2 linked regions of the Oryctolagus cuniculus genome follow. The protein of the gene in region 2 purifies or fractionates together with the protein of the main gene of each other region. This does not show direct contact. Links are inferred from orthologs where the notes say so. Each region holds a gene or a part of one and is shown on either strand. Other genes may lie near its edges.

The links.
Region 1: the proteins of RAB14 (region 2) and GDI1 purify together in Homo sapiens (affinity purification with mass spectrometry; 3 studies listed by BioGRID and IntAct, counting the BioPlex papers as one, with this or other methods). This does not show direct contact. The link is inferred for Oryctolagus cuniculus from reciprocal best matches to the Homo sapiens genes RAB14 and GDI1.

The regions. Positions count from the first base shown.
Region 1 is NC_091453.1:132,666,880-132,671,123, forward strand, and holds the start of GDI1 (rab GDP dissociation inhibitor alpha), read left to right. Parts: upstream 1-1,262; coding exon 1,263-1,307; intron 1,308-2,518; coding exon 2,519-2,626; intron 2,627-2,760; coding exon 2,761-2,860; intron 2,861-3,006; coding exon 3,007-3,141; intron 3,142-3,614; coding exon 3,615-3,813; intron 3,814-4,049; coding exon 4,050-4,181; intron 4,182-4,244. UniProt on the Homo sapiens protein: Regulates the GDP/GTP exchange reaction of most Rab proteins by inhibiting the dissociation of GDP from them, and the subsequent binding of GTP to them. Promotes the dissociation of GDP-bound Rab proteins from the membrane and inhibits their activation.
Region 2 is NC_091432.1:225,199,544-225,203,777, forward strand, and holds the start of RAB14 (ras-related protein Rab-14), read right to left. Parts: upstream 3,043-4,234; 5' UTR 2,910-3,042; intron 1-2,909.

The sequences.
Region 1 (4,244 bases), on a different chromosome or scaffold from region 2:
ACATGGCACCCAAGGACCCCCTCTTGCTACCATAGCATGAACCCCCAGCTCCCCTCAGCCTGTCTCACTCCCTCATCAGCCTGCGGAGGGGCTTCCCCGAGGCTTCTCCCAGCCCTCCTGACAAGGTGTAGATATTCTGCATAGATTTTAGGCCTGTCTCCCGGGTCAGCCATGGGAAAGCACAGGGGCATTAGTTCTAGGGTCCCCTTTCTCCTCCCCTTATTTATTCTTCTCTATCTACCATAAGCTCTGGCTGTACATAGCGCTTTTGTGTAGCAAGTTCTCCCTCCCCCAGCTTTATGGGGCTCCCTACAGCAGCCAAGAGCTTCAGGTTGCCCGAGGTTGGCAGAATGTGGAAGTGACCACTTCTGTGTCCCGCTTGGCTGTCGTTGTTGTATCCTGGTGATGTTGTGTTAACAATCAACACTGTGCTGGGGTTTATTTCTGTGACTTCAGGAGGAAGGAACCTCCATGACAGGTGGGCTGGGCGTGACCACTGTGTTTCAGGAGCGCCTGGCAGGAGCCTGGCATGCTCCATTGTCTCCTTCCTAATAAAATAAAGATGGGTCGCCACACGTTGGGCCTCTTGTCATTCGTTTCTGGACTAGAAATGAGGAAAGCGTTGGACTGAGGGATGGGAGGAGGGCAGGAGGGCGGGCGGGTGCGGGGAGGGGGGGAGGTGGCCCTAGATGTATCCCAGCCAGGCCAAAATCCAGGAGCCAGGGCCCGCCAGGGACTCTTTTAGCAAACTGGGCCCCTAACCGGTTAAGGTAGGGAAGGAGTGGTCGGGACAGCGGTCGCCGCGACAATGGCAGCTTCAGCGTCGTGAGGGGGCCGCCCCCGGCTGCTGCAGCAGCGCGTGCCCGGCCCGCGGGGCCGCGCGGAGCCTCCCGGGGGGCGGGGCGGGGCGGGGCGCGCGCGGCTCCCGCGCACGGATCCCTCTCGGACCGCAGTACCGGTCATCGGACCGCCCCGCCTAGCTTCCTCTGGGTCCTTGGCAAACGGCGACGCCGGCAGAGCCGCACTGGTGCTAGGGCCCGAGTACCGGCAACCCTCTTAGGAGGCAAGCCAGGGAAGCGGTGATCACTGCTAGGCGTGGTGGGGCCTGGGGAAGTGTTGGGACTTTTTGACGCGGCGGAGGGGTCAGGCGGCGTTCGAAGTGCCGCCATCTTTGGTCCAGTGCGGCGGCGGCGGCGGCGGCGGCTGCTGCTGTGGTGAAACGGGAGGAGGAGCCGAGCGGGCGCTGGTACCAAGGCCTGACCATGGACGAGGAATACGATGTGATCGTGCTGGGGACCGGCCTCACCGTAAGTGTGGCCTCGGGCGCCTGCGCCTCCGCTTCGTGCCTTCCCGAATCCCTGCGATGATGCAGCCGCTGGCCGCCAAACCCATCCTCCCATCATTCCTATCCTCTGCCCTTGGGTCCCCGAAACGCCAGCCCCGTACCCACCCCACTGCCTTCTCTTTCCCCACTCCCCAGCCCCCTTGGCCTCGCGACGTCTTCTCTGCTCGCTGCCATGACCTCGAAGCGGGGTCTCCTGGCTGCTCCCTTGACTCCCTGGTGCCGACTCCCGGCCTCTCCCATCTTCCCTACCCTGCCCTGCTGGGCCGGAAAACGTATCCCCCACTCGGCCTGATGCCCCCCAGTCCCTCCCATCCAGTCCCCACCCATCGCCCCCACCCATCACCTTCCTAGTATTGTGCCCCCCCAACTTATACTAATCTTAGTAGGGGTGAAGTACGAGGACCTGGGGTTAGGGGGCCTTGCCAGGTTGGGGCCTCGTCCTGTGTTCCTGGCTGCTTCTGGGATCAGAAGAGCCAGGGAATGTTCCAGAATAACTAACAGCGAGGGCAGTGACCACATTCCCGCTCCCCCACCCTGGTTTCCCATGGAGACCTGAGGCTGAGCAATATCTGCAGCCTTTGTCCTTGGGCTGGTGACAGTGACTAGGGAGAATGTTCATCGTCCCCCTTCCCCCACAGCGTGTTCACCCGCTCCCCTGAGAGACACATTTCCCTCAGGCCAGGCCCAGATGCCCCTCCTGAGCCCAGGTGGGGAAGGCTTAGGGTCAGGGGCTCCTGGCCTTTGACGACGGAGCAGCCGAGGGTGGGGCCTGAGAGTCCAAGTGCCTTTCTTCACTTCCCTTTTGGGCGCCCTCTGCGGCCTGGCCAGGTCCGCTGTGTGCCTCATTGTGTCTTATCTGCCGGATTGTGCGGCTCTGCACTGATAGAGGACTTTCTTGGCAGTCGGTGCCATGAGACTGTCCTTGTGTCTGCTGGACACTCTGTCTCCCCCGACTCCTTCATTATTTCTCTCTGGTTCACCTCTGCTTAGCAGGGTAAAAAAGGAGACGGGCGGATGTAGCCATCGCCACCAGTGTTAGGCAAGGCGGCGGCGGCGGAGGCTGGGGGCGTGGAAGGAGCTGTCCATTGTGGCAGGCTTGGGGAGGAGAACAGATCAGGGCTGCTGGTGCGAAGTGGGCAGGTGGGAGCGCACCGGCTGTCCTCACACCCCTAGGAGTGCATCCTGTCTGGTATCATGTCTGTGAACGGGAAGAAGGTGCTGCACATGGACCGGAACCCCTACTATGGGGGCGAGAGCTCCTCCATCACTCCCCTGGAAGAGGTAAGGCTGCCAGCCTGGCCCAGGCCGGGCCCTTGGAAACCTCTCACTGGAGCCATAGTGTAGCAGCAGCGGGTGGCAGGGAGAGGGAGGGCCAGTCCTTGAGGTGTCTCTCTCTCTCCCCCTCCTGCTTACAGTTATATAAGCGTTTTCAGCTGCTGGAGGGGCCCCCTGAGTCGATGGGCCGGGGCCGAGACTGGAACGTTGACCTGATCCCCAAATTCCTCATGGCCAATGGTGAGGGAGATGGAGGAGCTGCTGCGGTTTTCCTAGGGGCGCGGTGGTGACTGGGAAGGACCGGAGGGGGTTGGGCTCCAGACAAGGGCCCGCCAGGCTGGCCAGAGCTCCTGCAGGGAGCTGTGCTGATGTTGTCCCCACCACAGGGCAGCTGGTAAAGATGCTCCTGTATACGGAGGTGACTCGCTACCTGGACTTCAAGGTGGTGGAGGGCAGCTTTGTCTACAAAGGCGGCAAGATCTACAAAGTGCCATCCACTGAGACCGAGGCCTTGGCTTCCAGTGAGTGTGGGTCTCCCGACCTCAGGGCGGGTGGCAAGGTAGACACCGGGAGCCGGCCACTGTACGCCCGAGGCTGCATCCCCTGTGAGGTAGCAGATGGCCCTTGCTCTGTTCCTGCTGCTGCCATGTGCCTCACCTCACAGCGGCTTGCTAGCAGGGCGATCCGCGTGCAGAGAGGAGTGGAGGGTGCTCCTTTTCGGAAGCCTGTGACAGGGGCTCCGCTTGAGCCCTGGAACATCTCTAAGTGTCGGAGCCAAGAGGGCCTTCAGAGTGTGCCCGGCCCAACCCCCTCTTCACATGGGTGGGGAAACCGAGGCCGAGACAGGTAGATTACGCTAAGGTCATGTGACAGACCTCACTGGGAGCCGGGATGCCAGCTTTCTCGGCCAGCCCACGGGGGTGGGGTTGGGGGGGGGCGGGAAGGAGAATTTTGTATTCTAGTGCAAAGGGTCCCCCCTTGCCGCCTTCTTCAGATCTGATGGGCATGTTTGAGAAACGGCGCTTCCGCAAGTTCCTGGTGTTTGTGGCAAACTTTGATGAGAATGACCCCAAGACCTTTGAGGGCGTCGATCCCCAGACTACCAGCATGCGTGACGTATACCGGAAGTTTGACCTGGGCCAGGATGTCATTGATTTCACTGGCCACGCGCTGGCACTCTACCGCACTGATGAGTGAGGGGAAGCTGGTGTGGCGCGGTCCCCTTGCCTGGCCTTTACCCTGCCTCCCCAACACCTGCCCACTGCTCCCTCTGCCTACCCTGCACATTTCTCGTACTCAGCCATAGGCTCCCCTGTTGCCTGTCCGCCCCTCCCCTGCACTTGACCCCCCGGCTCCCCTGGGCCATTCGGGGTGGTGGGGTGAGCCAGGGAGCCTGTTGGAGCATCTTCCCTGACCTCTGTCCCCCCAGCTACCTGGACCAGCCCTGTCTGGAGACCATTAACCGTATCAAGTTGTACAGTGAGTCCCTGGCCCGGTATGGCAAGAGCCCATACTTATACCCACTCTACGGCCTGGGCGAGCTGCCCCAGGGCTTTGCAAGGTGAGAACGTGGCTTTGTGTAGTTGGGATGACTAAGTGGGACTGAGAGCAACAATAGCAATGC
Region 2 (4,234 bases):
ACTATATTCACTTGGCAGTATGTTCTAAAATAACAGGTATAGGAAATAAAGGGTCAGTAAATATTTAAAGAGCATTTGTATATATAATTCCAATATGCAAACTGGATTAATAATAATGAAAGAAAAACAAAAACTCCCACTCATAACATTTCCAACGTATTTCCCCATTTACCAATGATATAGGTTAATCATATGATTTGGCCTCAAAATAAAAAACCAACACCCAATAATAGAGGATGGTTTTTTTTTTTTTTAGTTCTTTTATAGTTTAACTCACGTTGACAATATAGTAATGATCAAAATGACAATGTCATCTCTGCCTTCATGGAAGGCCAAGAACAGAGCATTCTGATTTGTTTACAAGCCCACTGAAATGGAATGACACTTCATTTGTCAGACAAACATAAAACTTTGGCAGTCCATCTAACAATCTGATTTAATCAAAATGAGTGGTCAATTTCCTTTCCTCAACCATAGTAGTCTCTGAAAATAACCCACTCACTAGCAAAACATTTAATGCCATACTTTTATATAAATTAATAATGTAGATAAGAAAAAGTGACTAAACTGCTTAATGTGTCAAGAGAAAAAAATCTTGCAGTTAATTATGCTGGTGTGCTATGAATAGGAAACCAAAGTACTTCTACATTGCACCTCTGTTCACAGAAGAAAAACATTTAATGACAATCCCCTCCTGCCACAAAAAAACCTGCACTTACCACTAGAGTTAAAAGGATTAGTAAACAGTGAGAAGTTTAGTGATGAGATCTGCTTCAAAATAATTTGGCAGGGAAGAGAAAGGTTTATAAAAATGAAGAATGATTATTGTTAACATTGGCTGGTGTGTATCTAAGACTCAGTAAATTATTTTATTTACGCTTAAAACTACCTAAAATAAAGTTTTTTTAAAAAATAGGTACAGTATCTCTAACATGTATTTGTACATTGTTTCTATCCATGCCTAGCATTTTTAGATATTTAAAAAAGTAAATCACTCAATAGTTTACTGTTTCAACCAAAAGTTTACTCCAATAGTACAATATTTTACTAAGATTATGCAAAAGTATTTGATATTGATAAAAATCTGTACGATCTGTAAGAACACTAAATTCTGTGCAAAATTAAGTATGAACAAATACAACCCTTAACATGAAAAATACAAAAACTTTTTAAAATGTAGCTTTAATTCCAAGAATTTCGTAACTGCTATTCGAATGTGAAGATTTTACATCTGACAACAGCCATGTATTGAGTGTCCCCAGCTACTTTATAACCTCTAACCCTAACAGTTCATTTTACAAACAAATAAGGATGCCAGGTCAGAAAGGTGACAGAGCAGTGGTCATATGCTATCAGACGGAGAGCTAGGATTAAAATCCAAGTCTAATTCTTGAGCTCTCCAAAGCCATGCCTCTCAATCAACAGATATTAAATACCCAGCATGGGCGTGGTACTTCCCAGGCATTACCTATATGCCATGCAATGTCTAACTAGCATTTAATCCTCACAGCAACTCTAAGATGCAGGACTACCACCCCTTTATAGGTAAGGACAGAGTCTCAGAGGTTAAGTAACTTGCCTAAGGTCTCCTAACGAACTAGGAAGTGGCAGTACTGGAGTGGGAACCCCAAGACTCCCAAACGCTAAACCACTACATGCCTCAAGACATGACCAAGTAAAATCACCTCAGCAGAACTCAGAAGAAAAATGGCTGGAAAGGCACAGGGGAAACAGGTTGAAGGCGGGCTCACTGGACTTGAGGTTACCTTGTCCTCAGTAAGCACGTGTAAACACAAGGCAGCCGGGACAGTAATGCGGGGAGCAGTGAACTTCGCAGGAGTTGCCGTCTGCGCCCTGACACTCCCCGTGGGCCCCCGGCACGGCACCTGCCCACTTCTCACACGTCAAATGGAACTCCTGCCTCTCTGCTCCGGGACTGAGAATGACGGTTTCTGACAGCGTCGCGACTGCCAGAGCTTCGGGTCATCAAGAAGCAATCAGCTATCAGCCAATGCAAACAGAGGGGAAAAAACGGGAAAGGAGTTCTGGCTATACCTAAAGTGCCCGTTGTCTGGAGCCCCCGCCGGACTTTGCGTGCAGCTCAGAAAGCAGCAGCCAGTGTGGGGAGAAGCCGGTGTGCAGAGGCCACCATGAGCCACAGCACAACTACAGGCCTCAGTTTCCTCGCCCCTAAAACGGTGACAACTTAGCTCCAAGGCGCGTGTGTGCGCGGACAGGCTCCTACGTCCGTGCCCCGCACACAGCGGCGAGCACGCCCTCCACGCACTCCTGTCCGTTTCTTTCCTTAAATTCCAGACATGCCACAACTCTCTCCCTCGCTCACGACGTCTAGACACGAGGCGTGTTCAGGGCCTCGCAGGGGCTCCCCAACACCCGTGCTTTCGCACGCACACCCCCCCCAGCCCCCGACCGCGACCCCAGCCACAGGCGGGTTCCCCCACGTCGACAAGGGCACCGGCGCCGGCCCACGATGCCAGCGGCAACGCGAGCGGCTGCCTTTTGTACTCGCGGCTCGCCGCGGCCTACCCCGGAGGGGCACTCGGCGTCCGGGGCTGGGGGCGGCGCGGCGCGCGGGGGTAAACACCGCGGGGGCGGCCCCGCAGCGGGGCCCGCGGGAGACGCGCCTCCGGCCAGCCGGGCCGCGGTGGCGGGGCAGGCGAGGCCCGCAGCCCTCGGGCCGGCCAGCAGCGCTGGGGACACCTCCGCCTCCGCGCGGGGGTCCTGTCAGGCCGGCGCCGCCGACTCCAGGACTCGCCGCGGCCTGGCAGGGCCTGGCCCGGGGCACCGCCCGCCAGCGGCCCTGCTCGCCGCCGTCCCCACCCTCGCCCCTCGGAAGGGCCGGGCCAGCAGGCCTTGGCCGGACGGACACTGCGGAAGGCCTGGGTTACCTGGGGGGTTGCTGGTAGCTGGGCAGCTTTCCGGGCGGGAGGGGGGCGTCAGGACGAGGAAGAGGAGTGCGGCCGCAGCGCGAGTCGGGGCGGGCGCGGTCGGCCGAGGCCCCGGCAGGCAGGCGGGCTGGCCAAGGGGTGCAGACGCGCCAGCGGCAGCAGCGGTGGCAGCGGCGACTGCCCCTGAGGCTCCCTCAAGATCTTCCTCGGGTTGGTCCAAGATGGCGGCGCTCCCTGCACAGGGTTTCCTGTCACCCTCGCAATGGGCCGGACCACAAAAGAAGGGGGGGAAGGTGCGCGCGCAGCTGCGGAGCCCGGAAGAGGGTGGCCGAGGCGGGTCCGGTAGCCACGCCCCTTCCCCAGGCTTCCCCTCTGGACTCGTCGCGCCGGCGCCGAGGCCCGCCCCGCTGGCTCTCGTGCTCGGAGGGGCCGGGGACCGCGCGTGGGCGCAAGCGCAGTGGCGAGCCCTCGCCTCCTGGGGAAGTTACTTGCGCAGGTTCGTGCGGACCTGGTGGCGTGCGTCTTTGGAGGCTTGGCTTGGTCTTGAAGACTTTTTTGTTTTTTAATTATTTTTAATGCCAGCAGCTTTTCGTTACTGGCACCTTACTGTAAACTGGCCAGTGTTCTGAGGACTTACTGCTTTCCCTCAAAATGTGTTTATTGGACCTCAGGAGGCACATGCCACGTTTTTATCTGGCCGCACTGAGGCTCGGGTTGATGAGCTCGCTGCGCTGTTTCACCTCTGTTTCTCTTAACCTTGCTTTGCGGGTGCCTTTGACAGGGAAAGGGAAGCGCATTGATCACAGTCTCTCCACCACCTCCCGGATCCACCTTGGCCCACCAGTATCACTGCTCCGAAAAGCTGAACACGCCTCAGTTCAAGGCCACGTTTCTTAGACTCTGGGCACTTTGGCTTTGTGTGTTGTAGATATTTATTTCCATATTTATACTTAATTTATGTTTTACAACTCCAGCAGGATAGAGATGAGCATATTAGTAGAACTTTTTCTCGGACCTACGCATTCATTTTTTTCTTCTTAAAGGAAAAAGACAGTTTTGTGGGGCCCCATTTGCACTGCCAAGTTGCCTGATGGGTAACACAACCCCACCTCACTCTCCCTCCAAAATGGACTTCAAGCTTGCTCTTGGCATTCAAGAACTTACAGAAACTGATTCTGCCTTGGGTAGATGATGCTCCATTGGAAAACTGGGAATTTATAAATATTTTATTTTCAGAAAGGTTTGGGTGTGAATACCTTCTCTGCAACCCAGTGGTAGGCTGATGGGCATGTCTCTTGATTTGATTTCTTAGAGCCGCAGTCTTT